2 linked regions of the Mus musculus genome follow. The protein of the gene in region 1 purifies or fractionates together with the protein of each later gene. This does not show direct contact. Links are inferred from orthologs where the notes say so. Each region holds a gene or a part of one and is shown in the gene's direction. Other genes may lie near its edges.

Region 1 (16,434 bases):
TAACTTTAGAGCTTTCCATTTGGCTTTCTCCACTTGGTGTGTGCCAGCTTCCCAGTGTATCTGTCTCAGTTACACATTTAGGGAGCAGGGGAGTGACTTGCAGTGGATCTACAGACAGAATGGACTCTTGGCAGGACGCCACTGCTGCTTGGTTCCCATATGCCCCACAAAGCAGGACAACTATGGTGATATTTTAGCTTGCCAGGTCTCATTCTAACTCTGATGCTTGACACTTGTAGGCCTTCCTATTTCCCTGGTGCACTTTTGCCTGAGTGGCCAGTGGTCCTTTGCGGGAAGGGCTGAGATAATCATTACTGTTTATACTTTTATGGCACAAGGGGGCTTGATTGCCATCCAATTACTGAGTTCCAGGCACGGGCGCCCAATAAAGGATCATTCTCATTGGTTGGAGATGATCGCATCAGGCCAAAATGGCCTTTATGCTGACATATCTTTGTCCCATGTCATATCAGGCACATGAGCCACTTTATTCACTGAGCCAAGGTCTCCTGCTGAACCCAGAGCTCATCAAAAACTCTACCTCTAGGTAGACTGTTTGCCCTGGAGGACTCCTGTCTCTGGAAGACTGGGATTACATGTGGGCATCCTCGGCATTTATGGGGGCGCTGGGAATCTGAAATCAGGTTTTCATGCTTACAAAGCAAACACTTTATCCACTGGGCCATTCTTCCTGGCTGCTCCCTCCAGATTTGGGGATTATTTTTACTGACGCACATTATATTTGTACAACGGAGTTTCATTATGATATTTCCATGCATGCATCCAATGCACTACGACTGTATCCTTTCTTTCTGTACTCCTTCTTCTGCCCCTGCACCATTCTTTGTGGATTCTTCACCTGCTGTTTCATTAGAGGAGATTCCATGTCTACTTCCCATCTTCCAGGAATGTGCTAGAATCCTTTGCCTGTGGGTGGCACTGTTCCTGTTCGTTGAATGGTTGCTGGGTTGGCTCATTTACTATCATGATTACACTGCACTACAATCACTAACTCAGTGATTTGATTCTTAACTCTATGATGGTATGACAGGCATATGTATTCAGAGAAACTGTATTTGGAATTTTATATCTGGAATTTTGCTGAGATAGCAAAAAGCAGTTCCTTCTTTTCTGGTGAGGTCAGGCAGATCCCAGTTGACCATGAAGGGGTCATGCTGACACTCCATGGTAGGCCATGGCTCTAAACTGGCATGCTGAGGTTAGGAGTTGCACAAGCATTTTCTACCTATGATGGACATGATAGTTCCTTTTCTGTTGCTGTGATAAGATACAAGGCAACCTATAGAAGAGTTTATTTGGGGATTATAGTTTCAGAGGGTTATCATCCATTGATGGTGGAATAGAGTTTAGCAGGTGGCTAGAGCTGAGAGCTCAAATCTTGGCCTGCAAGCAAAGGCTGATCATACACCAAGAAACCTCAAAGTCTACCTCCAGTGAAACATACACCCAACAAGGCCATACCTCCCAATCCTTCCCAAACAGTTCCACCAACTGGAGACCAAGTATTCAAACATATGCCCCTATGAGGGCCATTCTCATTGAAGCCACCCTAATGGGTTTACTGAGATGTAACTCCTTGGAAATATCTAGAGTGCTATAACAATGTTTTGGAGTGAGCAAAGGCTTGTCATCATGTATCTTCTTTGGTAACACATTTAGTCAACTCTTTACTTCTTCTTTTTCTCTTCCTTTTCATCCCCCCCCCCCTTTTTTTTTGAGACAAAGTCCTACTAGGTAACTATGTAGCTTTGGTTACCCTGGAAGTTCATAGAGATCCACCCACCTTTTTCTGTTTTGTGATTAAAGGCACAAGCGCCACCATACCTGGTTTAGGCATGAGTTTTTTTAAAAAAGATTTTTGGTTTTTTTTTCAGATGGGATCTCACTATATAGCCTGTGCTAACTTGAAAATTTCCATGTAGCCCAGGCTAGCCTCAAATTCATGATCCTCTTGCTGCCAGAATACTGGGATTACAGGTTTAAATGTTTGGATTTGTTTATTTTTGCATTTGTTTATTTTTAAATAAAAGCCATTTATTTTATGTGTGTATGTGTTTTGCCTACATGTATGTTTGTATACCATGTATATGCCTGGTGCCAATAGAACTCAAAAAAGGTTGTTGGAATTGAAGTTAGGCAGTTATAAGCTACCATGTGGTTGCTGGGAATTGAATTCCTGTCCTTTGAAAGATCAACCAGTCCTCTTAATCACTGAGCTATTTCTCTAGACTCACCCATTTTAAAATTCAATGTTAGTTTTTTATTATTATGTTTTGGGAATTATTTATATATCCTGACTGTAAATTCTATATAAGACATCTACTCTATAAATATTTTTCTTTTAGACTGTGGCCTGTCTTTTCACTTTCTTACTGATTTTTAAGAGCAGAAACATTTGATTTTGATGCAGTCCAACTGACCAGTTTGTTGTGAATCATGTTCTTCTTGTGAAATCTCTGTCAGATCCCAGGTTCCCTCCTTTGCCTTTCTCTGTGTTTCTTAGTTTTAGGTTTTATGTTGAGGTTTATGAACCATTTTGATTCCCTTTTGTATATGGTACGATATGAACTGAGGTCCCTTAGCTAATAAGAAAATACAAATTAAAATAGCAGTGTTGTTCCAGTACATGTCTATAGAATGGCTACTTGGAAAAGAATGGCTGCACTATACCATTGCTGTCTGGTGAGGATGTGATGGACCCAAAGCTCTCAGGCACTGCCAATGGGAATGTAGACACATGTGGGGAGAGAGGCAGAGGCAGAGGCAGAGGCAGAGGCAGAGGCAGAGGCAGAGGCAGAGGCAGAGGCAGAGGCAGAGGCAGAGGCAGAGGCAGAGGCAGAGGCAGAGGCAGAGGCAGAGGCAGGTGTGTTTCTAAGTTCGAGGCCAGCCTGGTCTACAGAGTGAGTTCCAGGAAAGCTTGGGCTGGGCTATCCAGAGAAACCCTGTCTCGACCCCCCCCCACTCCTCCTATAAAAGAAAAGAAACAAACAAACATGTGGGGAAATAACTTAGCATATTCTTAAAAGATGCAAATATACAATGGGAGGAAACAGCCATTCTACTGGTAGGTGTTATATGTGAGAAGCAGAAGCACACAGGGCTTGGTTGTATACATATGTTTATAGCAGTTTTACTATTGAGAAGGCTAGGTTGACTCCATGACAGGCTTCAAATTGGCAGTTCAGGAGATGAGGCCTAATTCTCTGTTTCCAAGAACTGGGCAAGTCCAGGCAAGTCCAGGCCTCAGAAGCTGCCCTACCACCTGGCCGGAGGCAAGGGCAATGGGTCAGCAGCAATTTCCAGACTTCCTCTACCAACAGTTTCCAGAACTCCCCACAACAGTTTCCAGCCCTCACACCCTGGTAATGGAATGTCCCTAGAGATAGAGCAAGATAAAGGTCACCTACCCATAGAATCCCCTAATCAGGCTTTTGACCTCACTTGGTTGTCTATATTGCTGGACTTCTGCAGAATAAAACATTCTTTGCATTACATACTATTTGAGTCTGGGGTGTCATTCTTTAGTGAATCATGGACTCTTCCACTATAAAATTTAGAAAAATGACTGAAACAACCCACATGAACATCAACCTTTGAATGAATAAACAAATGGTTGTATGCACACAATAAAACACAGCTCGGTAATAAACGGAGTGAAGTGCTGATCCGTACAACTTGGGTGGGTCATATTCTAATGTATGAAAGAGATAACAGTCACATGTGTGGTATGATTCTATTTATATAAAACTCTTGAAAATGCTCAGTTACCTATAGCAACAACATAGACCAGGGGATGGGTGATTATGCAGGGATTTGAGAGGGATACTAGACTTGTCATTTTGACTATGATAGTGGTTGCGTGGGTTATACAGATGTCAAAACTTCAGTACATATATTTTATTTTAGTAAAAAAATTTTTTTCATACATGTATAGATCTTTTTTCTTTTCTTTCTTTCTTTCTTTCTTTCTTTTTCTTTCTTTCTTTCTTTCCTTCCTTCCTTCCTTCCTTCCTTCCTTCCTTCTTTCTTTCTTTCTTTCTTTCTTTCTTTCTTTCTTTTTTTTTTTTTTCTGAGACAGGGTTTCTCTGTGCAGCCCTGGCTGTCCTGGAACTCACTCTGTAGAACAGGCTGGCCTCGAACTCAGAAATATACCTGCCTCTGTCTCCCAAGTGCTGGGATTAAAGGTGTGCGCCACCACTGCCTGGCACATGTATAGAACTTGATCACATCTATCCCCCTCCCTTCCTTCAAGCTTCTCCACCCCCTAATTTAAACATCTGAAATATGGGCAAATAGTCATGTTAATGTTAATAATTATACTTTAATAAAGCTGTCAAAATATGACCAGATTCACTGATAATTAGCAAATGGAAACAGAGTATAAAGAACACTCTACTATATTGCTAGTTTTGTGTTAGTAAAATGAAATGTCGGAGGCAATTAACTTTATGAAGAGGAAAGATTCTAGTTTACAGTGCTAGGAGGTTCAAGAATACAGTATCTGTGCTGGCCGAGCTATGGTGAGGACTTCATAGCACAAATGTCACAGGAGCACAAATACAGGAAGAGGTCACAGCCTGAGAAGAGTAGGCAGGAGGAGGATGGGTGTAGCAGGGTGTAGGGGTTGCACGGGTGCTGCTCTGTATTTGAATGCTAAGTGCTGGTCCCCCCAAATCTGGATGCCTCCTGATGAGATCCTCCTGTACCAAATGATGTAAAGCTTGCCCCCCAACTTATTCCTGATTGGCCAATAAAGATGCCTACAGACAAGGCTAGGCAGAACAGAGTGGGTGGAAAAATGGATTCTGGGCTTGGGGTCTGAGATAAGGATGAGGTGGAAGAGAGAGGAAGAAGGAAGGAGGTCACCATGGTGTTGGTAGATCATGGGCACATGGTCAAGAGGACCAGCCTGATGGAGTAGGAATGGCCCAGGCTGAACATGGCCAGTGACATCTCTGGGATCACCATAAGAAAATAGGTAATATAGCATAGAGGGCTGATATCTGCCTAGCTCTAGTGCTTTTAAGCTTATTATAAATCTAAATGTTTCTGTATCTTTTATCTGGTAATGATATGGTCTGAAGTGGGGTAGAAACCCCCAATAGATATTTAAAGGTAACAAGGGGGTGTAGTAACCCCCTCCCCCCAACCCCCAACAATATTAACCACAAAGGCTGGGCTTGTTGCTTTTATAGTAATACCTCAGGAGCTCTATCACAGGAATATTTCCTTTTCCTCAGTGACTTGGGTCTTCCAGACAGGGCCTATCCCCTGATCTCCCATGATATTCCATAATCTATCTCCCTTGGGGACTAAGACATCTCACAGTGGATCCTCGGAGGGTCCCAAACCATACTCAAATCACATCACATTTTAAATCTCAATTTGATCCACTAAGAGTTACAGGAAATTTAAGCAGACTCTTTGCAGTTCCTAGAGTCTCCAAGTCTACTGTAAAAAGCTTGACAAACCGGGCAAGTTTTTACGCCTCTCAACCCACCAAGGGACTCATTCCAAACACTTTAGTGTCCCAGTAATTAAAATTAAAGGGTCCCAGGGCAGATATATCACCACCCTCCACAGGGCTTCCCTCTCTCACATTCTTTCTCAAATCTTAAAGGCTCCCTACTCATATTTCCATTTTGTACTCGAGGAAAGAGAGACAGAGAAGTTAAAGGGTTAGATCAAGACCCGAGCTTTACATGATAGCAGCTCAGGGTGTGCCTGCCTGTCTCTGAAGACCCTGTCCTCCCGCCATGGTCTATGCAGTTCTTTTTTACAGCTTTCTCCCAGGATCATTGCTGTTAAATTATGTTAGCTAGGTTAGAGACTTGCAGAGGTGGGCCTGGGAGGTGGTGGCTGCTAAAGCGCTCAAATTGTGTCCGTGTCTGGGCAAAGGAAGATGCTGAGAGTGGTTTCAGTCCACTAACATGCGCTCCTGGGAAGAAGGAAAAAGGACAGAGGTAGTTCAGTGGGTTCCTAGAGATCGCTGGCAGACTCCTAGGCGAGGCTGAAGGTACCAGGCTAGAGCAGGCGGAGGCCCTGTTCTAGGCCCCGCCCACTCATGCTCGCCCCACCCCACCTCGGCGCGCGCATCTGAAAGTGAAAGAGCGTTCCGCTTTTCGGAGCTCGCTCTCTCTGGTCTGGGAGCCCGCGCCTGCCCGGTCTCGGTGCTGTGGCCCGGTGGCTGGCGGGATGGAGGAGTCTCGGGCCGCTGCGGACGCGGACGTGTCGCTTCACAACTTCAGTGCAAGGCTGTGGGAGCAGCTGGTCCACTTTCATGTCATGCGGCTGACGGATTCGCTCTTCCTGTGGGTGGGAGCAACGCCGCATCTACGCAACCTCGCAGTGGCCATGTGCAGCCGCTACGTGAGTGTGGGCGGGGCCAGGAACTTGATGGCGATCTGGGGGCGGGGCCTAGCCGTAGTTGGGGGTGGGGTTGGGGGGACCGGTGGACCTCAAGGTGAAGGATCTGGGGTAGAGGGTGGGGACCGCTAAGAAGGGTTTGGGAGGAGAGAGACCAGTGGGAGTGAGGCTGGTCGCATGCGGCCCTGAGAGACATTCTTGAGGAGCTTCAGTGTGCCCTGGGGTCCTATTCTGAACACCTCAGGCTGGAGTCTCCTAGGGCTGCTTCTTGACTTGCGGGAACCCCGGAGTCAACCCACACGTGGACCACCTTAAAGGGAACTCATCCCAGCCCCTGAGCTCTGAGCTCACCAGAACATCGGCTCTCCTTGCACCAGCTTCCTGACATGTGCGCGTGCTACGTTTTACATTTTACATTGGGTTTAGACAACTTTTGTATTGAACTTGGAGCTTAGATTTGAGTGTCTGATAGGTACTTGACCAACAAACTCAAACCTTCCCCTTCTGTGACCTTTCATCTCTGTATGGGCAACTCTACCTATTCTGAGTGCTCTCTGGCTGTCTTTGGCCTTTCTTTCTCTCACAGGTCACGTGCCCAGAGCCTCTCCATCTCCAGGATAGGGGGTTGAATCCAAAGCTTTGCATGTGCTATGCAAATGCTCCACCACTGAGTTAAACTGCCTGTCCTCATCTCTTCCTTGAACACACCACTCATATTGGATGAAGGACTTACCTTACCCTCGGATGAGCTCACTTTGTGTGGGGGGCACATGCATATATATGCACCCAAATTTAGGAACATGCATGCACGTATGCATGCATACCATACACACTACATATAAGCAAAAAGATAAAACAATAAGATAGATCAGGGATTGCCATTCCTCTGCTAAAGACCCTTTGAGATGAATTCAGAGTATGATACTGAGTTTCTAGTGATCCCCACAGGGCCTGTTGCTTCTTAGTGTTCTTCCCTGCCCAGTTATTCCAGTAGTACTGGCCTCTGAAGTTTTAGTGATATAAGGTGAGGTTAGTGTCTAGTACCTCTCAGGCTGCTCATTAAGTCACTTGGTGAGTTGTTGAGACCTCTTCAGGGCGTCCTTTAAGTTGTAGCCAGTCAGGCAGTAAGGTCTTACTTCGTAATCAGGTTCTACTAAAACATGGCCACATCTATCTATGCAGGTGGAGAGTATGGCAGCTCTAGTCCTACTAGCGGGCTTGTGGCTGCTGACACCTGAATTATTTTCTTTGTGAGCATTCATAGAAAAGTTGTGCTGGTCCATGGAGGACAGTGTTAAAGATCATGTGTGTGTGCTCCTCCCTTTGCCCGCAAATTTGTTCTGGCCACAACAAACTTTGGAGAACACAAATCACAGGATGAAGTTGCTTCTCTAACTGGCCTGTCTGGATAGCGGCAGGGGTTTCAGTACCCAGGAGGGATGATGCCAGCCAAGCCAGCCTGAGGGTGGCTGGCCTGGGATGGAAAATGGTCCTGACCTATGGCAGGGAGTTGGAGGAGGTGCTCCCACCTTAGTAAATGTGTCCTTGAGCATGTGTCTATGGAGACCAATTATTTGACAGTAATTAATTATATTAAGAACAGTAACAAGATGGGGCTTAAAATTTTATTTTTGGTACGAAAAAGCCAGCTGGTAAGGTAGATTTACTTCAGTAGGCTTCAGTGTAAACACTGTACATTTCAGCTAAATGTTGAATTAAGAGTCTATAAAGAACAGGTTTATGATTATATTTTTGTATCAAACAAAAAGATAGAAATTGAGTAATTTTATACTGTTCTTTTTTTCTTTTTAATCTTGTTCGGTATATACCTGAAGAAATTCTGAAAGTGACCTTAAGTTCTTAAGAGATGAATTATATAGTCTCTGCCCTGCCACACTGTCTGGGAGATACTCAATCTGTTAAGTTGTCTCAACCTGGACAGTGAGTGAGGCAAGTGCACCAGACCTGAGCAGGTTAGTGAGAGGGCCTTTTCCTAGTCAAACAGCTGCTTTTTTTTTTCCTTTGGTGCCAAATATTGAACCCAGGACCTCGTGCATGCTAGGCAAGCACACTACTGTGTTTATACTTCATTGTTTCTTAGCCAAAACAAGATCGGTCAACCATTTCATACAAGGCTTTAACTTGGCTCTTTGGATACTGATAGCTGGTGTCTTTTCAAAGTTCTAAGTCATTTACTAACCTTCAGAAGTCCTCACAAACCATGCTCTTGTAGGCTTTCCTGCCGAAGGCAGGCAACTTGCTTCTTAGCTGGGGAACTGAACCAGACATCTAGAGACCCTGATCTCATTTCTTGTTGTGGGCTTACTGAGTTTGTTGGCTTCCCTCCTGGTCGGAAAGCCCGTCAGCGTACTTTGGAGTTTGGGTGTTTTTTTTTTTTTTGGTTTTTCGAGACAGGGTTTCTCTGTATAGACCTGGCTGTCCTGGAACTCACTCTGTAGACCAGGGTGGCCTCGAACTCAGAAATCTACCTGCCTCTGCCTCCCGAGTGCTGGGATTAAAGGCGTGTGCCACCACGCCCAGCTACTTTGGAGTTTGTAACACAGAAACAACCCCTGTATGTGAAATCAGTCTTAGAAACCATTAGCAGCTCCATGGGTCCCGTTACAGGTGGCTTCTGTCTGCCCTAGTTCTACTGTCTAGTCTGTGTCTAGGTCACCTAGCTTGGCTGTAGACAAGTGCCAGCCACTAGGGACAGTTGTACGTCCTTTCCTTGCCTTGTGTGGAACCCAAAGCTGCCCAGCTGACAGTAGGAGAATCCACAGTATGTTCTTTGTTCTTTTTCTTCTTCTTTAGGACCCCATCCCTGTGTGCACCTCCCTTTTTGGAGACACTTCTGATACAACTTCCACCGGCCTTGCTCAGCGCTTAGGTATGTGCCCAAGGCTAATGCTTTGACACTAGCCGGATGTGACCCACGGTTTCATGTCCTAGGGTAAATGCCCTCAGAAGTAAAGGATCTGCATATGACAGACGACTGCCTCGTTGGCACTGGAAGCTGACTTCTGTCCCATGGTCTTTTACGGGACACATCTACACTTACCTGTCTCAACTGTTTCAGTGTTATCACGATGCCAGGGAACTTTCCAGAACTTTCACCATCCTTCTTGGTTCTCCCCTTCAATCCATGAGCTGATTTATTTTCTTTCAGTGAGTGTAGCATCTCCTTGTGGGAGAAAATGAATCCTGCTCAGCGGCAACTACTCAGGGTGGCTCCCTGGGCCTCTTGGCAATTTCTGTAGAGCCTGGTAGATGTCACTACTGCAGGGAGGACTGTTTCTCCGTCTCAGTATGACAGGCGAAGAGTTTGGTGAAGTGAACGCAGAGTAGCTGTTTAGTGAAGAGTGTGAGGGTAAAGGCTCCCTCCTTCCACATGTGCTTTTTAAAAAAATTACAAATACTCAGGTGATTTAGGTCAGAATAACTTATGTTCTGTGATCCCCAGTCCCTGTTTCCCATGGCTGGTATGGACAGGATGCCTTCAACAATGGCTCAGTCTTGGACAGGATTGTTATTAGACGCGTTCTCACGACCGGCCAGGAAGAACACCACAGACCAGAATCTTCTGCGGCAAAGCTTTATTTCTTACATCTTCAGGAGCCAGGGTGCAGGAAGCAAGAGAGCAAGAAGCAAGAGAGCAAGAAGCAAGAGAGCAAGAAGCAAGAGAAGAGAAAACGAAACCCCGTCCCTCTTAAGGAGCATTCTCCTTCGCCTCGGACGTGTCACTCCCTGATTGGCTGCAGCCCATCGGCCGAGTTGACGTCACGGGGAAGGCAGAGCACAAGTAGTCATAAGATACCCTTGGCACATGCGCAGATTATTTGTTTACCACTTAGAACACAGGATGTCAGCGCCATCTTGTAACGGCGAATGTGGGGGCGGCTCCCAACATCTCCCCCTTTTTCTTTTAATAAGAGCAAATAGGCCACCCATATTAATGAGAGTGGAGATAGAGGTCAAATCCCCAGTGTGTAGGTAAAGGAGCCATGTACAGGATTAGCTCTTAGGCTTACAGGCTTTTACCCAGAGCAACCCTGACCTGCTCCCGTGTCGTTTTGCCTGGGGGAAGGGAACTAGGACACTGAACCTTCTTGAAAGATGACATGTCTCCCTAGAATAGGCTCATATATGCCGCAGAGCCTTTCCATTGCAGTGCTTAGCCTTGCAACTCTCTCGGGCTGCTGAAGCACACTCACTCTATCCCGTGCAATGAGTCTAGCCTCATGGGATATAAGAGCTGAGTGGCCAGCGACCTATTGCCTAAGCATAGATAACCATATATCAGGGGGAGCTCCATGTTCTAGTCCTGCAAGCGCCTGGGCAATAACCACCTTGTCTCTCCTAATTTGGGCCTTAAGCTTACAGACCAATCAAAGAAGCAACACTAATCCACAGCAAAGTGTATCTCCAAATAATATTAATCCCACCCATTTTTTAAAGAAAGAAAATGCTGAGGAGATCCAATTGGGTAATCCTTTGGTCAGGGACAGGTCCAAGCGCGTGGAGTTGACCTGAAGTCTCAATTCCCGAAGGATCTGTTCAAATTCAGCCATCCAATTCTGTAACATATACTGAAAAAGACTTTTTGACAAATTAGCTGTCCTAGTAAATTTAACATACTGAATGGAAATAACACACAATCCCGGAAACTTTTGTTCACATCCCAGCTGAGTTATTTGTCATAATACATCTAGTTGTATCTGGACAAGATCTATGAGTTGATTAACCAGCATGAGACCTCTCTGTATCTTGACATTAGCTGAGGCCTGTTCATCTATGACTGTAGTCACTGAGGCTGACAAAGTGTTAATGGTGTCAGTCATCTGGACCTGTCCAGACAGAGCCAAGGCTGTCTGAATTAAGGCCAAACCCAGTTCCTAGTTAGTGGTAAAAAAGCAGGAGAATACTTGAGCATTATACATCACCGTCATTGGGAGTGGGAATGTCGACATTATCCCCCAACGCTGCTCTCTTTTTATTATTGACGCCCTGGACATCACCAAGACGAGGGACATTAGTATTCCCTTGGTCAGTCTGGATTTTTCGGGTGAGTCTTTCTGGTACCCAAAATGGGTTGTCTTCATTCTGTGGGAAAACACAGATAGCTCCCCTGGATCTTATCAAAATAGGATCCGGGCCATACCATTTATTATCAAGGACATTTTTCCATTTAACCATCTCATTGGGCCTATCTGGCTCTGAACAATGACGTTCAGCCGCAGTATGGCCATGAGCATCAATATTTAAAAAATTGAGTGTAAAGAGTGCCAAAGACACCGACACTCTTGGTGCTCGGGGTACAGTCTCCTCAAAAGTTCCCCTCTTCTGTTTTATAAGATAGGCTTTGAGGGTGCGATGCGCACGCTCAACAATACCCTGTCCTTGAGGGTTGTACGGAAGTCCAGTCAGGTGGGTCACGTCCATCTGACGGCAGAACTGTTGGAATTTTTGAGACGTATAAGCTGGTCCATTATCAGTCTTAAGGAGTCTGGGTTTCCCCCAAGCACTCCATGCCTCAAGACAATGTTGAATCACATGTGAGGCTTTTTCTCCGGTTAACGGAGAAGCAAACATGATGCCAGAACATGTGTCAATGGACACATGGAGATATTGAAGTTTTCCAAAGGAAGAAACATGTGTAACATCCATTTGCCAGACCTGTAGAGGTCGAATACCGCGTGGATTAATTCCCACATGAGGAACTGGCAAGAACTCACAGCAGCTTTGACATTGAGTAACAATGTCACGGGCTTCTTTTCTTGTCAAGGAGAAACGACTGCGTAATGTTTCAGCCGTCACATGAAAATTGTTATGAAAATTTCTTGCAGCCTCTACCGGGGATGATAGGGCAGCAGCCACCACTTTAGTGGCCTTATCTGCCAAATCATTTCCCAGAGCCATGGGGCCAGGTAGGCCTGAATGGGCTCTAACATGAGTAATATAAACAGGAGATCTTCTAGATAACAAAACTAATTGTATCTGCTGAAAAATATTGGCAACTCTACTGGAAGGCTTAATCACTCCAGCCACTTCTAAAAGATTTACTGCATTAACCACATAATAGGAATCTGACACAATATTAAGGGGTTTTAAAAAGGTTTTTAAAACTTCTAAGACCACTAAACATTCTACCACTTGAGGTGAATTTTCATTATACTGTTTGGATACCACTTTACCATTAGCCACATAGGCACCTATGCCAGTTTTTGATCCATCAGTATATACCACAATCCCATTTTTAAGTGGGTTTCTTACTGTTATTTGTGGAAACACAACAGATTGATTTTGGGCAAACTGTAAGATTGGATGCTTTGGATAATGGTTATCTATTTTTCCTGAAAAGGAGGTAACTAAAACTGCCCAATCATTAGATGCGGCTGCCAAGGTTTGAACCTGTGCAGCGGTATAAGGTACAATTAAAAGATATGGACTTTGCCCAAAGTGGGTGATTGCTGCTTTTAGACCTTTAAGGGCAAGCTGTGCAATTGCATCAGGATACCAATCTATTATTTTAGCTGGGGATACGTTTGGATGGATCCACAACAATGGCCCATTCTGCCACAAAACTGCAGTTGGCAATTGTGCTGTCTTAAAGACACACAAACTGAAAGGCTGCGAATCCTCAATACGTTGTAATTGTGCATTCTGTAAGGCTTTTTCCACTTTTTGTAAGGCCTGGTTAGCAGCTAGAGTAAGAGTCCTAGGGGAGGAGATATGAGGATCTCCTTCTAAAATACTAAACAAAGGCCTTAACTCAGCGGAAGGAATCTTTAAAAAAGGTCTGAGCCAATTAATATCTCCCAACAGCTTTTGAAAATCATTTAAGGTATGGAGGTGATCTCTTCTTATCTCTACCTTTTGGGGCACAATCTTATCTGGGGACACCACAGAGCCCAAGAATTGTCCTGTATCAGAAATTTGGACCTTTTCTGTGGCTATCTGTAAACCCCACTGACTTAAAGTTTTAAGTAGAAAAGGATATGCCTTTTGTAGCATGGTAAGGTCTTTATGGCACAGGAGGATGTCATCCATGTAAAGGAGCAAAATTAAAGAGGGGAATTGTTCCCTCACTGGCAAAAGAGCTTCTTGCACATAAAGTTGACACATAGTAGGACTATTGGACATTCCCTGTGGTAAGACCTTCCATTGATACCTCTTATCAGGTTCCATGTGATTAATAGAGGGGATGGTAAAGGCAAATCTGGGCCTATCTCTTGGACACAAAGGTATAGAAAAGAAACAATCTTTAATATCTATAATAATTAAATTCCAGCCACGTGGTAAGGCGGAAAGTACAGGGAGACCCCTCTGTACTGGGCCAAATAAGTTCATTTGCTCATTAATGGCTCTGAGGTCATGGAGCAGTCTCCACTTTCCTGACTTTTTCTTAATTACAAAAATTGGAGTATTCCAAGGTGAGGTAGAGGGTTCAATATGGCCTAATTTTAATTGTTCCTCTACCAGTTGAATCACAGCTTCTAGTTTTTCAGAGGATAGGTGCCATTGAGGAACCCACACTGGGTCCCCTGTTTTCCATGGTATGGGTCGTGCTGCCCCAATGGCCGCTAAGGAAAACCCAGACCCTGTCTGTCTTGGTTTCCATTAGGTGAGATGGGCTCTATCCTTCCCTGTTCTTGATGTCCTAACCCTTTTCCTTCTTTATAACCCATCTTTGCCATGATATTTTTTGCTTTAGTTGAATACCCTCCCGATGGGGCGTTTTCATTGGACAAAATAAGGCCCAGATGCTGCATAATATCCCTTCCCCAGAGGTTAACCGGGAGTGGGAGCACATAAGGTATGAATTTCCCTTGCTGTCCTTCAGAGGATTCCCACGTCAAGGCAACGGAGCTTATAGTGGGACATGATTGATATCCTAGGCCCTGTAATGAATGAGATGACTCTGTGGTGGGCCATGCTTTGGGCCACCAATGTGTAGAAATTATACTTTTATCTGCTCCGGTATCAAGGATGCCTTCAAACTCTTTTCCGTTGATCTTAAGGCGGAGCTTAGGTCTATCATTTAAAGATACAACCAAATAGGCAGAATCATTTCCTGAGGAGCCCATTTTCTTTATCTCAGGTCCTGCAGATTTCTCCCTGGTATTATCAGGGAGGAGCAGCAGCTGAGCTATCCTATCTCCTTTACTAATAGAAAAAACGCCCTTAGGGCTTGAGCACAGGACCTGTATTTCAGGGGAATGTTGACAATCCATAACTCCAGGGTGGACTACTAAGCCCTGCAAGGTGAGTGAACCCCGGCCGAGAATAAGGCCCATGGTTCCCGGGGGCAAGGATGGTATAGGCTCCACCGGCACCGGCTGAATACTCATTTGAGGCATTAGTAGGAAGTCGGAGGCGGCACGCAGGTCCACCCTTGTGGGTCTTCCTGGGTCGCCTCTCTGACTGCTTCCTGGGTCCTGACAAACCGGTTCCCATATCTTTGAGGGCCCTGGGACCGAGGGCCCGATGACCCGTTTTTTGGCACATCAGTTGATTGACTATCAGGTGGGGGAAGGACTCTGCCCTTTATATCCCTCACAGAGCGACACTGGTCAGCTCTATGATAACCCTTGCCACACTTAGAGCAAAGAGTGAGAGTCCCTCCCTGTTTATCTGGAGCTCTGCAATCTTTCTTAAAATGCCCAGGCTTTCCGCAGTTAAAACATGTCCTCTGATCATTTCTGCTCATGGAGCGGTTTTGGGATTGAAGGATGGCAGCCGCTAAACCTGCATTGCTGAGAGGTCCCCCAAGCTCTCGACAGACCCTGAGCCAGTCTTGTAAGCCTTTGTTCTTTCTTGGGGCTATGGCCGCTCGGCACTCCTTTGTGGCTTGCTCATAGATTAGCTGTTCTATTAGAGGCGCAGCTTGCTCTGACTCTCCAAAAATACGCTCTGCTGCCTCTGTCATTCTGGCCACAAAATCTGAGAAGGATTCCTGAGGTCCCTGGATTATCTTTGTTAACTGACCAGTGGTTTCACCTGCTCGAGAGAGCGCCTTCCAGGCCCTAATAGCCGTGGAAGAAATCTGGGCATAAGCTCCCCAATGGTAGTTTGTCTGATCAGCAGAATAAGCTCCCTGACCCGTTAACAAGTCAAAAGTCCAATCTCTCTGCTCTGGAGTCAAAGCAGCTGCGTTTGCTCGGGCCTGCGCTTGTGCAGCTTCGTGCCAAAGCGCTTTCCATTCCATGTATTTGCCCATACTAGGGAGAGCGGCTTTTACAACCGTTTGCCAGTCAGCAGGAGTTAGTGCCATGCCAGCGAGCCTGTCTAACTGCACCAAGGTAAAATTAGCATTGGTTCCGTATTTACGAACCGACTCGGCAATTTCCTTAATTTGTAAGTATTCTACCGGAGCGTGGACACGCCCACCCTCGGCTCCTTCAAAGACCGGAAATGCCTGTTGTATTTTCCTTTGTTCCTCTCTGGGAATGAATGAGTCTGCGCACTGCCTCTCTGCGCACTGCCTCTCTGCGCATTGCTGACGCACTACGCAGGGTGGGGACTCCGCATAGGGCGGACCTTGAAGCCGACTGCCCTGAGGCCAATCAGCAAACTGGCCTTCGCCAGCCGCTTTTGGCTTTTTTCTTGACCAATTAGCTGGCTGGTAATGGGCTGCTTCTTCCTCCCAGTCTGTTTCCTCAGAGGAGGATTCTTCACCTGCTTCAGAGCTACTAAGAGCTGGCTCCCTGAGCTCATCTAGTGACGAGTATCTCCTAGAGACCTCCGCTAATTGATCTTTCTTCTTTTCCCTTTTTCCTCTTTTTCTTCTAATCTCTCTCCAGGTATTCCTACCTAACCTTAACTTTTCCTCGGGTTCAAGACCCTTGGAAAGGCCTGTATACTTATTTTGTGTACCATATTTCCTCTTTGTTCCTACTCTCTCTCCCCGCTTTACTTCTGATAGCTTGTCCTGAATTTCCTCTAGAATTTTCAGCCCTATCTTAATCACTTGATAACATGTGAAAAGGAACAAAAGGGCTCCTAACACCAGAAAAAATTCAAGGCCAAATATACCTTGTAAAGCCA
Region 2 (15,905 bases), on another chromosome or scaffold:
AAAAAAAAGCTCAAGTTGCTCTTCTACCCTTAGGAAGAGAAAACAAGAAGCACATACACAAATTAAGGTCCTTAAAAGCAGTGACTAATCTGAAGCTCCGATACTGAACTCCAGGTCTGGGTCTGAAACTTGGATAGTTAGGGTGGTGGTGGTGATGTGTACGAATCCAGGAAAGACTTGATAAAATAATCGTACCTATGCAAGAAATTGAAAAACGTTCTTGCTGATTAGAACCTATCAACTTTTAAAACTTTTTTTTTCAACAAGCCCGGCTGGCAGAACTGCCGGGCACGCTGGTAGAGGCGCACACATTTCTCTACCCAAGTCAAAAAGTCCTCAGCAAACCTAGTTCCGGCTGCCACCGAGCCGGGAAGACAGCGAAGAGCTGGGCAGGCGAGCGCGAAGTAAGAGACCGGTGTCCCCCGGCTGCATTTACGCGAGCTGGCGAGACTTACGTCACGATTCCGACAACCCAGTCATCAGGCCAAGTCTTGCAGCCATCCAAAGCGCGGCGTGCTCACTCCTCGACGACGAGGTTCACTCTCACCGGTTGCCTCGAGTCCCAGCGCCCGTAGCAACCAAGGGTGACGGAAAGCGGAAGTGCTCTCTAGTTCCGCCTCCCTGTTAACCCAGGTCCGGTGAAGAAGCTTGTCAAGTCCAATCATCGCGGCGAGAATATCAATCAGCCAATAAAAGGGAAGCACGGGAGGGCGGGCTAAAAAGGTCGCGTGCGCACGCGCAGACGGCTGCAGGGTCCTTGGTGCTGTGGCGGTGTGGTTGATTAGGGTGCTGCTTTCAATCGTGTGGCCTTTGGGAACCCCGCGTAGCCACTGCCGCCTCCTTCTGTCCTCGCCATGTTCCTCACTCGGTCCGAGTACGACAGGTTCGTACGGCGGGAAGCAGCAGGGTCGAAATTTGGGTGGGCGGGCCTGGGGCCCGCGCCGCGGCCTGGGTTCTGCAGTGTCATGGGGCGCCCGGAGAACCTAAGTCTGGCGGGACCCGGGGAATCTGGTTCCCGAGGCGCCCGGCGAGATTCCCCAAGCTACACTGCAGCGGACCCGTTGCACTTGTCCCGCTGAGTCACCGCTAATCCTGACTCCCCGCGGAAGCGAGAGGCTGGGGCTGCTTGGGGCAGGCGGCGGAGAGGGATCGGGACCTTTAACCTGGAGTAGATTAGGGGGACACCAGCCTTGCGTCCGTCTTTTCAACCTAAGTCTGACTGCTTAGGAAAAAGAAAAGTGAAAGGAGTTTCCTTGAATAGAAGCTACCAGAGACTATTGGATGAGTTTGTAGGAATCCGTCCTGTGCTGTACATTTTAATCTTTTTTGAAGAGCGAAGGCAGTTTTCAGCTATGCTCGGATAAATATATTGCCTACAATCTGGTTTTGTGGGAACTTGAATGTACAGTGGTTCTCAGAAGAGTTTTAATACACTGATTCCATTTGACCAAAGTGTGTGTATGTGAGAGGAGGTTTGAAAGCAAGTTAATTTTAGTGTTGTGTTGAAAGCTAAATGTTTTGTAAAGTCAAAGCTGTGTGGTTGTGTTTATTAAAAGAGCAGACAACCTAAAAACTTTCAAGTCTCGAAAATGCTAACTAATACTGTCATAAATGCTGTAGATACTGTAACTTTCAGTTTCTGTTTTGAGCAGTTTTGCAAACCACTGGGTTCCTTTAAAAGTTAGGGAAAGCAGACATTTTCTTAGTTCCAGGTTACCACTGAGAAATTACTTTTCTTGGCAAGTATGTATTGAGCCTGTCAAAATATATATATGTCATTCCAGGTGCCACAATTTTGACAGGCTCAATACATACTTATATATACACATATATACATACATATTAATCTCCATCCTTTTGCTGACTCAGAAAATATCGGTGAAGTTTTAAAACTATTTCCTGTTGTCAAGTAAAATGGTCGTTAACACTTGGCTTCCAGAGTATTGAAGAGAGTCATCTTTAGGTGATAAAATGTTAAGAAAATTGTGATCCTCATCTGAAAGGCTTTACTGAGCTTTGCCCATTTATTTATATGAACTAGTTGCTTTGTGGATTTTTTTCTTTTGTATTTGCTAAGACTAAATAAAGCCCAGGCCTCTATTTAGCTAATGTTCTTGAGCGTTGGCTGTGTTCAAGAAGCACTGTTTAGGGAGCTGGTTTTACAGCAGTGAGCAGAATCAAGATCTCTACCCTCCTGTTTGCAACAGTAACTGTAATGTGAGACAGAAATGTATTGATGTTACTAGAGGAATCTAAGGCAGCACTGGACGTTCTGATGAGAGGCTGCATTCATTGTTGGAGGTTGGGGAAAGCTTCACAAAGAAGCTGATAATTCAGATAGGTCCAGGGAAAGTAGGATTTCTAGTAAACCAAGACCATGAGAACGAACAGATAATAAAGGATGAACAAGGGGGACCAGTGAGGAAAAGGCATAACACATTTGGAAAAGTCCAGGCTGGTTACCACATATGTATGATGCATGTTATGGGACAAGTAGGTGCTATGGAAAAAACAGGATGGTGCCAGATACTGATGGTTCAATAGACTTAGAATTTGGACCTCACTCTGTAGGCACTGTGTGCTATCAGTTGGGGGTGTCCATGTACCATATACATGCCTGGTGTCCTTTGAGGCCAGAGGGTGTTGGATCGCCTAGAGCTGGAGTGACGGGTGGGTTTTAGCCAAGATGTCAGTGCTGGGAGTCAGAGCAGCAGCTTCCTCTGGAAGAGCCCCTAGTGCTCCTAACTGCTGACCCAGCTCTCTCTCTCTCTCTCTCTCTTTTTTGGGGGGGGGGGTCTTTTTTGGTTTTTGTTTTAAAAGACAAGGTTTCATCTATAGCCCAGGGTGACCTAGAGCCACGAGGCCTGGAGTTTGGGACGATCTTTTCTGCCTGAGTGTTGTGAGTTCTGGAGTTACACTCATGAGCTGTGTCAGTCTCTCATATTTTCTTTAAAGAGTTGCCTCATCACAGTTGTTTTTATAAAGATTAATTGATTGGAAGAACGAGTTGGCACCAGTCAGGAGGCTTTTACAATAGTTAGGTAAAGGGTAACAAGGACATAGGGATGGAAGTGATGTTACCATGGAGGAGGCGCTGATAGGAGTTAGCATGACTTAGCATATGGTAGGACAAAGGGGACGGTAGGGAGAGTGAGTCATCATTCAGAGCATTCTATTGTGAGGAACTGAGAAGCTGGGGCTGTTTGAAAATAATGGGCATGGTAAAGAGGAGTTGGTTTTACAGAATGATTAGATTTAAAGGGTTATATTTCAGATTGGAAAATGTTGGATGTTGGTTGTAATTGGGCTATTCAAGGGGACTTGTTTCAAATTTAGATTAACTGAGTAAAAGTCAAACTGGAAGTAGAAATTTGGAATGATCGGTTTTAATTTATATGCAACAACCCAAGTAAGCAGGAAATTTGGGAGGATGAAGACAGAGCTTACTAGGATAATGCTTCCAAGTCGGGGTGCAGAAACATTTAGTCACATCCGTTTATAGGGTTCTTTCAGTTCTCTGCAGTTTACTTACATTATCACAAAGGCAGGGCCATTTCTTATTTTTCCTGAAAGCTAGTGGTGAGTCTGGTTCTCAGTGTCGGGGTGTGTGTGTGTGTGAGTGTGAGTGTGAGTGTGTGTGTGTGTGTGTGTGTGTGTGTATGTGAGTGTGTGTGTGTGTGTGTGTGTGTGTGTGTGTAACCTGGGGCTCATACATAGTGGGCAAGAGCCAGAGCTCTACAACTGAGCTGGTCCCCAGCTCAATGTCAGAGTTTTCTGACACAGTTTTTCTTTCCGAGAGCTTTCAGCTGTGCTCTGTGATCTGTTGGCCGAGGAGAGAATGAGGACTGGGTGGTGAGAATAATTCCCAGTGAAGTAGAGTAGTTGAAACCTTGGTTAAGTAGGATTTCTTGAGTTGATTCTGCTTTTATGCTGAGGAGTAACTTTGAGCAATTTATTTGATTTTCTCTCTCTCTCTCTCTCTCTCTCTCTCTCTCTCTCACACACACACACTCACAATTCTTTTTTTTTTTTTAATTACGTATTTTCTTCAATTACATTTCCAATGCTATCCCAAAAGTCCCCCATACACCGCCCCCCCATTCCCCTACCCACCCACTCCCATTTTTTGGCCCTGGCGTTCCCCTGTACTGGGGCATATAAAGTTTGCATGTCCAATGGGCCTCTCTTTCCAGTGATGGCCGACTAGGCCATCTTTTGATGCATATGCAGCTAGAGACAAGAGCTCCGGGGTACTGGTTAGTTCATATTGTTGTTCCACCTATAGGGTTGCAGATCCCTTTAGCTCCTTGGGTGCTTTCTCTAGCTCCTCCATTGGGGGCCCTGTGATCCATCCAATAGCTGACTGTGAGCATCCACTTCTGTGTTTGCCAGGCCCCGGCCTAGTCTCACTAGAGACAGCTATATCACCATCCTTGCAACAAACGCTTGCTAGTGTATGCAATGTCACAATTCTTTTGAAGAAAGTTTTGGTTAAACAGATTTGGAAGCTGGGCATGGTGGCACACGCCTTTAATCCCAGCACTCGGGAGGCAGAGGCAGGCAGATTTCTGAGTTCGAGGCCAGCCTGGTCTACAGAGTGAGTTCCATACAGAGAAACCCTGTCTCAAAAAAACTCAAAAAACAAAACAACAAAACAGAATTTGGAAACAGTAGTTTATGTATACTGTTGTGAAGTTTAGAATTCATGAACTAAGAATTACAGTTATTTGTATTAATTTACTCACAAACTTTTAAAATTGTAATTGTGTGCTGAAAGCTATAGCTAACAGTATGCTTGTGTCTCTTCTCTGCATGGATCAGCAACCCTAGTGCAAACGAGGGGCACATTAATGTAGTTAGTAAAGTAGTCTGGCATAGCTGTATAGACTTTGGCACCTGTGGATCTCAGTCTGCAGTGATACTATCTCATACGAATAGGTAGAAAAATGTACATTAACTGCTACAAAAAATAGCAACATCAAATGTACATAATGGGAAGGGGGGAAAAAGTCCATTTTCTTGGAAATGGCCTGATAGCTTTGGGGCACACATTTATCAAAGGAATTGGTTGGCTGGCTCAGAATTCATCCCGATTGATTCAAGTCACCTGCTTTCATTTGTTCAGTTTGGTAAAACTTTGGTCAGGTTTGGGAATTGGGCAGATTTGTGGGCCTTGGAAACAGTTGGTACACCAAAAGACTGAAAGGTTTGCTGTATACTTCTTACAGTTTCTAATATAGTTTTTATTCTTTTTTAATTACAGGGGTGTGAATACTTTTTCTCCTGAAGGAAGATTATTTCAAGTGGAATATGCCATTGAGGCTATCAAGGTATAGTAGCCAGTAGTATATTTTTGGAAATTTCATAACAGCCTTACATAGTGCTAAAAGGAGTGTTTTAGCCATTCTTTTAGAAAATAGTCTCACATTCCTTTAACCAACTACTGTTTTTATAACAATTGTAATTTTTGGAAAATTAGAATCCAAAATTAAGTAGACTGACACCTCAATTCCCCTACACAGGGCATCAATCCAGCCTTCATAGAACCAAGGGCCTCTCCTCCCATTGATGCACAACAATGCCATCCTCTGCTACATATGCAGCTAGAGCCATGTGTACTCCTTTGTTGATGGCTTAGTCCCTGGGAGCTCTGGGGGGACTGGTTGGTTGATGCTCTTGTTCGCTTACAGTGTTTTTGTGTTATGAAAGCAGATTTTGTACATGATTGGACTGTGGACCTTCTGGTGTGGGCCACTGCCCATCAGATGACAGCGTTTACCCTTCCATACAAGCAAAATGTCTGCAGGCTTTGTTGAATGTTGGTATTGGGAAAGAGAGTCCCCACTTAAGAGTTGCTTTAGTAGAAAAAATTAAACGTAGATGTGAATTGTTTCTGTCTTGTTCAGTTGAGGATTCAGGATCCTCAGTAAACAATTTCAAGTGGGTAGCTGAGGATGTAGCCCAGTAGTAGAGTGTTTGCCTAGCAGAAGAGAAGCCCTGGGTCCAATCTATGCCCAAATTTTAAAAAATATGGCAGTTAGAGAACACGGAAGTTTTAGGTTTAATTTTCTGGGCAATAGTTTTAGATTTCCTCTATCTATCTATCTTTCTTTCTTTCTTTCTTTCTTTCTTCCTCTCTCATTCTTTTTTCTTTCTTTTTTTTTTAAATTTTTAGGATATTCACATATGTAGTTTTAGAATCAAAGATTAAGATGTCTCTATAAATTATGTAATAAAAACAATCCTTTAGGCTATACCATCTAATTTCAACTTCTCTGAGGCAGCACTTAAAGCTTCTTTTTTTTTTAAGATTAATTTTTATTTTTATGAGTGTGGGTGTTTTTCCTCACCTATATTTACATGTGTAGTGTGCCTTCAAAGGCAAGAAGAGGACACTGGGACCCTTGGAGTGCTGATTATGTATGGTTCTGTTCCACCCAGCATTTGGATGCTGCCAACTGAGCCCAGGTCCTCTGCAAGAACAGCAGGTTCTCTGGCTTGCTGAGCCATCTCTCCAGCCCCACTCTCAGTTCCTTTATCACCTTCTATTGAGAACATGGGCATCATCTGATAGGCATCATCTACACACTTTTCATAATGGAATAAATTTCTGCATATCTGTTCTCTGGCCACCCACAGTTGCCTAGAGGATTGGACATAGTCAATGCAACCTCTCAAATAGCTTACACATAGCAATTTTTGTCAAATTTATCAGTAGTTGTGCTAGTAGAACTTTTCATGGTTGGGCCATACTGTGAGCATTTGAGAGTAATATATATGCATGAGACATGATGTACTCGTTAACAGGCCTAGAATCACCGAGGAGGAAAGCCTCCAGTTAACTGTGGTGGGGAGGCCTACCCTCACTGAGGGCCACAGCAGCTGGGCTTTGCTCTTGTGCTTGATAAAAAGAGAAAGCTTGCTGCGCACTAGCACTCGCTGTCTGTCCTTCCTGATGGTGTGCGCAGTGTGACTAGCAGCTGCCCTTTCCTGCCACCAGGCCTTCCTCCTTTAAGGTGCTTCATGTCATGTATTTTGACTGGGGCTGGAGAGATGGCTCAGCAGTTAAGAGCAGTGACTGCTCTTCCAGAGGTTCTGAGTTTAATACCCAGCAACCACATGGTGGCTCACAACCATCTGTAATGGGTTCTGATGCCCTCTTCTGACATGCAGGTGTGCATGCAGATAAGAGTGTTCATATACATGAAATAAATTTTTAAAAAATCAGAACTATTTTGAGCACATTCAGTCTAAACCATGCTTTTTGTGTGGATTCCTGGATGGGCTGGAGAACTCTTCCAGAGTTGAGTTCCCAGAACTCGGGTTGGGTGGGTCACAACCCTGTAACTCTAGGCCTCAGGATCTGACATCTTCTGGCCTCTGCAGGATTTCACATAAGGGAACGTACACACTAAGTAACACATAAATAAAAGTGAATTAAAACGTTTAAAAAGATTTATGGAATTCTGTGTTTGTTTGTTTGTTTTTAACAATATCAGGTTTAATCAGTGTTCACAGTTGGCGGGTCATTGTTATATAGAAATAAGTAGATGTAGTGGGAATCCAGGGAATAAAGCATGGTCTTAGGCGACTTTATGACGAGTGGATACATTTGGAGAGGCAGAAGGAGAGTACATTCCACAGGAGACAGCTTCAGGAAAGGTGGTAGTGTTGCTGCTAGTAATGTAATACTTTGAACAGTTGTGTTGTACCTAAGGGGTTAGTCAGTTAATAATAAAGTTGGAGGTGAAAGATAGCATCATTAGATTATGAGAAGCTCATTTGGTTTTTAATTAAAGGCAATACAGAGAGCATCAGTTCTTAAGAGAAATACAGTAAAAATCACAGTTTTCCCCTCAGTGTACCAATAAAAGATACATTTAGAGCAAAAGACTAAATATGAGACAAAGATGCTAAGTGTGGCTCATGCCTTAGGAGGCAGAAACAAACCTAGTCTACACAGAAAATTTCAGCCTGGCTAGAATTCTATGAGACCATTTCACAAGGAATAGATTGGGCGGTGGGGGCATGTAACAGGAACACTTGTTTATTATATGGTAGACACCATTTTCTCTATGGAGCTATCAGGACTGTCTTCATTCTGCAGATAGTTGAGTTCATAGTGCTGAGGTGTATAGGTGACACAGGTGAAACGGTGACTTTACTACACTGGACTGCTAGTGACTTTGGGTTAAGTTAGTATTTCCCTGTGGTTACTGAGGATGGCGTCTATTCTGTCCCTATCCCTTTCCTCTTTTCTTTCCCTGGGTGACATGGGTTTGGGGAGCATAACTATTGGACAGACTCATAGATGGCAGAGGTAAAAGCCACCGTTCCAGAAGAAGACAAACAAAAACCTGTGATTAGAACTTTAGAATTCTTCCTCCCAGTGCTAGTGCTAACATAGAAATTTTCAGATGTGTTCTGACCTTATAGACTGGGGACCAATCCTTGCTCATTTGAGGTTAAGCCCATGTACAGGATTCTGTAAATGCTTTTGCTAGTCAAGGGAACAGTTAGATGCTTTCTGTTCTTCCTGCATCCTAGGTATGGATAACTGAGTTTCTGCTTATGAAGCTGTGCAAGGATTTCTTTAAGCTGTGTGATAACCACAGCATGGTTTTTGTTTTTGTTTCATTTTAGCTTGGTTCTACAGCCATTGGCATCCAGACCTCAGAGGGTGTATGTCTAGCTGTGGAGAAGAGAATTACCTCCCCACTAATGGAGCCTAGCAGCATTGAGAAGATTGTAGAGATCGATGCTCATATAGGTGAGTGATGAGTGGGAGCTGCTATAGGATCTGGTGTGGGTTACTTAATCTTCTGTGATCCAAGGGAGGCCACACAGCTCTTCTGTTCAAGGCAGGAGGCCAGTACGTAAATCTAGGCAGTGGAAGGCAGCCTCAGGACCAAACTGAGGCTTAACCTACTACCAGAAAGCCTTTTCATCTATTTTACTTTTTGTAGTGCTTGGAATTGAACCCAGGATACTCTCACAAGCTAGGCAAGCACTCTACCACTGAAATATAACCCGATCTTTGGCAAATATTATACTTTAATACATTAAGGTTGGATCTTTGGCTAGTTCCTGTGATGGCTGTGTTTTAATTCATGCATGTTACCCTAGTAGTAAGCTAGCTGGAGCGGAAATAGTGTGGAAAAATGTAATGTCCACTGAGAAAAAAAGTAATTCTCAAAGATTTCAAAGTGTATAAGGTTCAGGGTGTTAAAGGAGTCATGTTAGACCAGCCTGTTCTGTGTGAGAGACTTAACTGATCTCTTCCTGCCCTCTCTGTCTTTTCTCTTGTCTTTAGTATAATTTTCTTGTTGGCTCTTGACAATGTAACATTAAAAGATACATACTTTTACAGTTACAGCTTTATATTGTAATTGGCTATCCAAATTTGCTTATCTTACCTACTCAACCCAGTTACTACAACATTTGCAAAGTAATTAATTACTCAAAGGCCATAAGAGCTAAATGCTTTGGTAACTGGGAGCTTAGTATTCCCTTTCATAGCTGGAGAAACAGATCTTAGAGTTGGAATGTTGTCTGCCGTATCTCAGGTCAACTGTCTTTTGGAGGTAGGTTAGTATCACTTCATTCAACAGAGAAAGATTAACAAAATCTTGTTAGACTCCGTGGCTATATAGAGGGAGGCATGGTACGTGTCTTCCGGGAACTGATGGTCTTATTTATGGTGGTGCACAGTGTGCACTCAGTGAGGATGTGATGAAGGAAAGAGTTTTGTCTGGGCCCAGTGGTCATGAGTTTTAGTTACTTTTACTACACTGTGACCAGATATCTGACATCTTAAGAGAAGGAACTTGTTTTCTGGCTTGCTCATAGTTTTAGAGGGTTTACTATCATCATGATGAATCCATCTGTGACCATCTGTGTCCACAGCAGGGAAGACCAGGAGTAGAGAAAGGAGAGTATTTACTTAGTGGATGGGCATGAAAAACTGTAGAGTGTTTGGCTGATTGGTCACTGTTGCTTTTATATTGCAGGTTGTGCCATGAGTGGGCTAATTGCTGATGCTAAAACTTTAATTGATAAAGCCAGAGTGGAGACACAGGTAAAATCAACATCTTCTCTGCTTTTCATTGTGATGCATGCAGTCCTTGTTTAGTGATGACAGAGCTACCAAGGCTACATTGCAATGTCTGTGCCCGTATTAGACATGGCTCTTGAGAGTTTTGGGTCCATTCCCCTGCTAAAACACCTCGGGACTTAGGACTTAGCTCTCCAGCCATTGCAACAGAAAGCAAGCTCTGGTTAATAGGGCCTACAGCCTCTTACTTCTTCTAGGCTCACCTTGTGTAAAGCATACACTGTATCCCCTGATTAACTACCTGGGGGCCATCATAGAGGGATGTGGTCATAGAAAGAGGGTATCCTGACAGCTGCCTTTTCTGCCAGGCTTATAAAGTTGTTCTCATCTGGTAAGCAATGATTTGTGCCAGGTGACAAATTCAGGTTAGGAATGCTGGGGTTTTTTTTTGTTTTTTTAATAAAACAACAAAAACCCATAAGCAAATCCTTGGCTATTTGTGCTTTGACTGTAGTAGGCTAATAAGGGAAACAACTAATCACAAGGTAGTTTTTGCACATATTTCCAAGTTTGTCCTTTATACTTAGTAATAATTTAACATAAACTCTTAACAAGGTAAGGTGAGTGTCTAAAGAAAATTGACACTTGGATATTTACACTGACTTTGTGAAAGAACTAAACTTGCTGCCTTGTTTTTAGGTGTCACTGTTTTGCATGGGTAGCAGCCTCTAGGTCATCCTTATTTCCAGAGCTTATCAGTGTGTACCCTCTCCCTCTGTCCTCCTCCTCTTCATTTTTCCCTGCTCCCTCTTAAGACATGGTCTTTCTGTGACCAGCTCAGACTAGCCTTAAAAGTCACCATCCTCCTGAGGGTGGGGATCATGGGCATATGCCATCGTATCTGGCAGTCAGAGCTGTTCCTCTTCTGATATAACCCAAGCACTCAGTGGCTAGTGTTAGTCAAGAAAAGCATGTTAAACCGGGCAGCGGTGGCGCACGCCTTTAATCCTAGCACAGGGGAGGCAGAGGCAGGTGGATTTCTGAGTTGGAGGCCAGCCTGGTCTACAGAGTGAGCTCCAGGACAGCCAGGGCTACACAGAGAAACCTTGTCTCAAAAAACAAAAACAAAAACATGTTGATCTGGGCAGGTGGTCTGTCTTAGCTCTTGGGAGGCTGAGGTGGGAGGATTGTAAGTTCTGGGTCTGACATTCAGAGAGACCCTGTCCCAAACAGAAGAGGCATGTGAGCACGAGGTGATGGTTGGTGTGAGTTTCCTTTTTACCAAGAAGCAGTATCATTCTTTACCCTTTTTATAGAACCACTGGTTCACCTATAATGAGACAATGACAGTTGAGAGTGTGACCCAGGCTGTGTCCAATCTGGCTCTGCAGTTTGGAGAAGAAGATGCAGATCCAGGTGCTATGGTGAGTTAGTTCTGATGCTTGTGCTGAGCCTGCTTGCTGTTCTGGGGGACTGAGAACATTTGTCCTCTGCACACATTTCTGAGGACTCTCATTATTTGTTGCCTCTTCTAAATTAATTCTTTTTGGTTCTAGTCTCGTCCCTTTGGAGTAGCATTGTTGTTTGGAGGAGTTGATGAGAAAGGACCCCAACTGTAAGTACCATTTCCCACCCCTGCTTTGGGATGGCAGGGCAGGTGGATCTACGTGAGTTCGATTCCAGCCAGGGCTACACGGAGAAACTTTGTTCAAAAAACCAACCAACCAGTGAATGAATAAATGAGATAAAAAAATAAAAGGAAAGAAGCAAAAATTGATGAAAAGTAGGACTTCTGAGCCAGTGTTTCTGTGCTGTTTATACCAGTGTTGGGACCCATGAAGAAGCCTCTGTCTAGCCAGCACTAATTCTCTAAAGCTTACACATTGCCTCATTGCTGTTACCATGTGGTGCTCACTCTCACATCGGTGTAGCACATAAGATTGACATAGGCATACGTGGTCATTCTCCTGTTGATGTCTTAGGTGGACATAGGTGCCATGGTGATGTATACTCTCTGTCATTCTCTCACCCAAGATCCTGAGGAAGTTCATGATTTTATTAATGTTTTCTTTTTTTAAAAATTAGTTTAATGTTTAAATTTTAATGTTAAATTTGAATTTTTTGTTTAGCACATAAAATAGGTTTTATTGTAACATTTCCATATGTACACAGATGTGTATATCATTAGTCAGGACCCTTTAAAAGAACTGTTTTTTCAAAATAAAAAGTCTTTAGGGGCTGTGCCTCAGTATTGCAGTGGCATGTCCTGGCTCCAGGGTAAAATGCTTATACTTCTTTTAGTGAGGTATTTGTGGCTTAAGACGCCCTTTTAAACATTGATGTCTTTTCAGGTTTCACATGGACCCATCTGGGACCTTTGTACAGTGTGATGCTCGAGCAATTGGCTCTGCTTCTGAGGGTGCCCAGAGCTCCTTGCAAGAAGTTTACCATAAGGTAATCCATCATTCTCACTGTTCTTGCAATCTTTAAAGTCAGTGTTTAACGTCTGTGTGAGTAAAACTATAGACCTGGAATCACAACCTAAAACAAGACACAGAACACAATTTATCTGCCAAAGTGCTTATTCATCTTTCTCTTCATTTGCAACTATTTACCAGTATAGATTTGTCTGTTCTTGTCCTTTTCATAAGTGAAATTAATACAGCTTTGCCACTTTGGTTGTTATGAGTTTATGCTGGCTTTCTACACTAATGTGCTTTACCACTGATCTTTTTTAGTTCCTGAGACAGGGTCTCTCTTTGTAGTTCTAGATGGACTGTACTTGCTAAGTAGACTTGGCTGGTCTCAAACTCATTGAGATCCTCTTACTTCTGCTTTCCTAGCTCTGGGATTAAAGGAATATGCCACCAAGCCTAGCTTTCTTATTGTACTGTTAGGTTAGTTTTGTTTTGTTTTTTTTGCTGAATAATATGCCATGCTATGACTATAGCACAATGTTTGTCTTCTATCCTGACAGCTTCACTTAGCAGTTAATAATGCCTAGTGTGGATATTGAGGCAAGTGAGTAGTTGGTACTTCCTTTCTAGAATAGGAAGATTTGGGTTTTTGTAGTTCATTTCTATGGTTGAAGGCTGCCACACCCAGGTGGGTCACATAGGGAATCTCTGCTCATATTAACATAGGCGTATTTAAGAGGTATTTTAGGTTTGGCATATAAATAAGTCTATACAAAAATTAGGTTTTCATTATACTGTAACTATTAGTTACTTTTCTATCACGATGATAGAACACAATGACCAAGTTTATAGAAGGAAGTTTATAGAAGGAAGGATTTATTTGGGCTTATGACTCCAGAGGGATAAGAGTCCATCATTGTGGGAATACATGGCAGCAAGTGGCATGCAAGGCTCCAGGAGCAGGAGAGCTCACAGTTTCAATGCAAGCACAAAGAAGAGAAAGCAAACTGGAAGTAGGGTGACGCTTTAAGCTCTCAAAGCCTGCCCCCAGGGAATATTTGCTCCAGCAAGGTTATCCCTCCTAAGCCTCCCCAAATAGTACCACCAACTGGGCACCAAGCACTCAGATATCAGAACCTGTGGGAATATTGCTCATTTAAATCAACACAGTGTGTAGTAAGTAGCATTATGTCTGAAAGCTTTTCACAATTTAATTGCAATTTTTTTCCACTAAAAATGATAAGCAAATTGTAATTCTTTTGCTATGGTGCTGGTGGCTTTTAAGGGTTAGGTAGCTGTGACAGCTTCTTACGGGGATACAGGAGCGTCTGTGGCATCAACGAACTGTTGTTTTCATGAAAAATTAGGTGTAGTATATGAATGAGAGTGTGTGATAGTGTCTATGCACAGAATTTTCATTCCAAACTGATTGATGCTCAGGCTTTTCTGTGCTTTATCAGCTAAACTTATGTTAATATAAAAGGGAAAGGGAGGGCTGGGACTGTAGCTCCTGGAAGATCACTTGCACAAATACATGAGGCTGTACATTGTTAAAATTGCTTTTTAAAAAGGGGCCTTTTCTTTCCCTTTTCACAGCTTGCTTAACTAATTTGGCACAAGAGGCCTAGCTTTCAGCCTAACTCAAATCTTGATAAACTGGACTAAGCGTTCTCATTTTCAGGTTTTGGTTTAAAGCGGGAAGCATGGGACTCTACCTTTTACTGTAGTAACATCCTTAGATTGACCTCGTTCAGTATTGTTGTCTTGGGAATGTAGAAAAATCCCTCCAAAAGATGGGCAGTACAGCAGTGAGGATATCTGCTACATTTGTCAAGGTTGATTCCTGTAATGTGGCTTGTGGGACTCGAGCAATTACGGCAATAGCACCACAAGTGACTTGCTAGGTTTCCAGGATCTGTCTTAGTATAGTGCTTCTCTTGTAAGCATGATCCCCAGAAACCACATTAATAAAGCCATGGGAACTGTGCCTCAGTGGGTAAGAACAAACTGCTCTCACAGAGGACTCGAGTTTGGTTCGTAGAACCCATGTCACCTGTAACTGCAGCTCTAGGGAATCTGACACCCTTTTTTGGTCTCTGAGGGCACTTGCACTCCTGTGTATACCCACACAAAGATGGACATCGTTAAAAAAAAATTCTTGGAAAATGGAGGGGGCAGCCAGGCGTCTGTAGTACAGGCTTTTAATCCCAGTGCTGGGGAGGCAGAGACGGGTGGCTCACTGGAGCTGACTTGGTAGGCAGCCTAGCCTGCTTGGTGAATTCCAGACCAGAGAGAGATTGATTTCAAAAAGGTATCTGTGGAGTAACATCCAAGTTGTCCTCTGACTTCCACTTGGGTGCATGTGCAACCCCCCCCCCCCAACAAACACCCCCACACACACACATCTGCACATACCTGAAAATACAGACACTAAAGAGAGGAAAAATGGTTACCAAACAGATCACACTGTTGTGAGAATTAATCAGAAATAACAGACACAGAATAATCCATTGCTTTTAGAAAATGTTACCAGTAAGCTTGTTCAATATGAGGTTGCCACTGATCTGCAGTATTTGCTAAGTGCAGCACAACAAAGCACAATAAAATGCGGTTTGCTTGTAATATAGCTTTCATATGTAGAGAAAATTAAATGTTAGTTAGTGCTGTGTGTGTATGTGTACACAAGTGAGAGCCATATAGGAAGAGGAATTTGAAATGAGAGAATACCTCATCAAATTAGTTTTTGGGCAAATCCTTAGGATGTTTTCTTGATTAGTGATTAGTACGGGAGGGTCTAGCTCACTACAGGTGGTGCCACCTCTGTGCAGGTGGTTCTGGGATGTATAAGATAGCAAATTGAGCAAGCCAGGAAGAGCAAGCCAGTAAGCAGCATTCCTCCATAGCCTCTGCTACCTTTCCTTCCTCTACTTCCCTCAGTGATGGAGTGTGACCTGAGAGTTCTAAGATGAAATAAATCCTTTCTTCCAAAGGTACTGTTGGTCATGGTGTTTATCACATCAATAGGAACCCTAAGACAGGAAATAAAATGGAAAGTGGATTTTCTGAATCATTGGATTGCCCTCTTTAGGTCACTTGGATATTACTAGGCTGTTCACCAGGTTATATCATCCTCTAGATCATGGAATTGAGATAAGCATATACTAGGGACGCACAGCCCTGTCCTCTTTCTCAAAGATGATTTACTAGATGAGCGTTAGTGAGACATTTTTCTTCTAAGTATATATCCTTGAATATTTACATTATTATATAATGTACTACATTATACAAATAAGGTGTAAGGTTTATTAATATCAGCTAAGTTGTTTCTGCAGAGAGATGCGGGGAGGGTTAAAGGAAGGAATCACGTTCAACTAACAGCTCCTCTCTCTCTCTGAAGTCTATGACTCTGAAGGAGGCCATCAAGTCCTCGCTCA

What was found.
Region 2: the proteins of Psmg4 (region 1) and Psma5 purify together in Homo sapiens (co-immunoprecipitation; 3 studies listed by BioGRID and IntAct, with this or other methods). This does not show direct contact. The link is inferred for Mus musculus from reciprocal best matches to the Homo sapiens genes PSMG4 and PSMA5.

What each region holds. Positions count from the first base shown.
Region 1 is NC_000079.6:34,156,860-34,173,293, forward strand, and holds the start of Psmg4 (proteasome assembly chaperone 4), read left to right. Parts: upstream 1-6,104; 5' UTR 6,105-6,216; coding exon 6,217-6,390; intron 6,391-9,201; coding exon 9,202-9,277; intron 9,278-16,434. UniProt on the Homo sapiens protein: Chaperone protein which promotes assembly of the 20S proteasome.
Region 2 is NC_000069.6:108,256,423-108,272,327, forward strand, and holds the start of Psma5 (proteasome subunit alpha type-5), read left to right. Parts: upstream 1-503; 5' UTR 504-854; coding exon 855-883; intron 884-5,263; coding exon 5,264-5,330; intron 5,331-8,643; coding exon 8,644-8,770; intron 8,771-10,010; coding exon 10,011-10,078; intron 10,079-11,370; coding exon 11,371-11,478; intron 11,479-11,610; coding exon 11,611-11,669; intron 11,670-12,405; coding exon 12,406-12,508; intron 12,509-15,868; coding exon 15,869-15,905. UniProt on the Homo sapiens protein: Component of the 20S core proteasome complex involved in the proteolytic degradation of most intracellular proteins. This complex plays numerous essential roles within the cell by associating with different regulatory particles.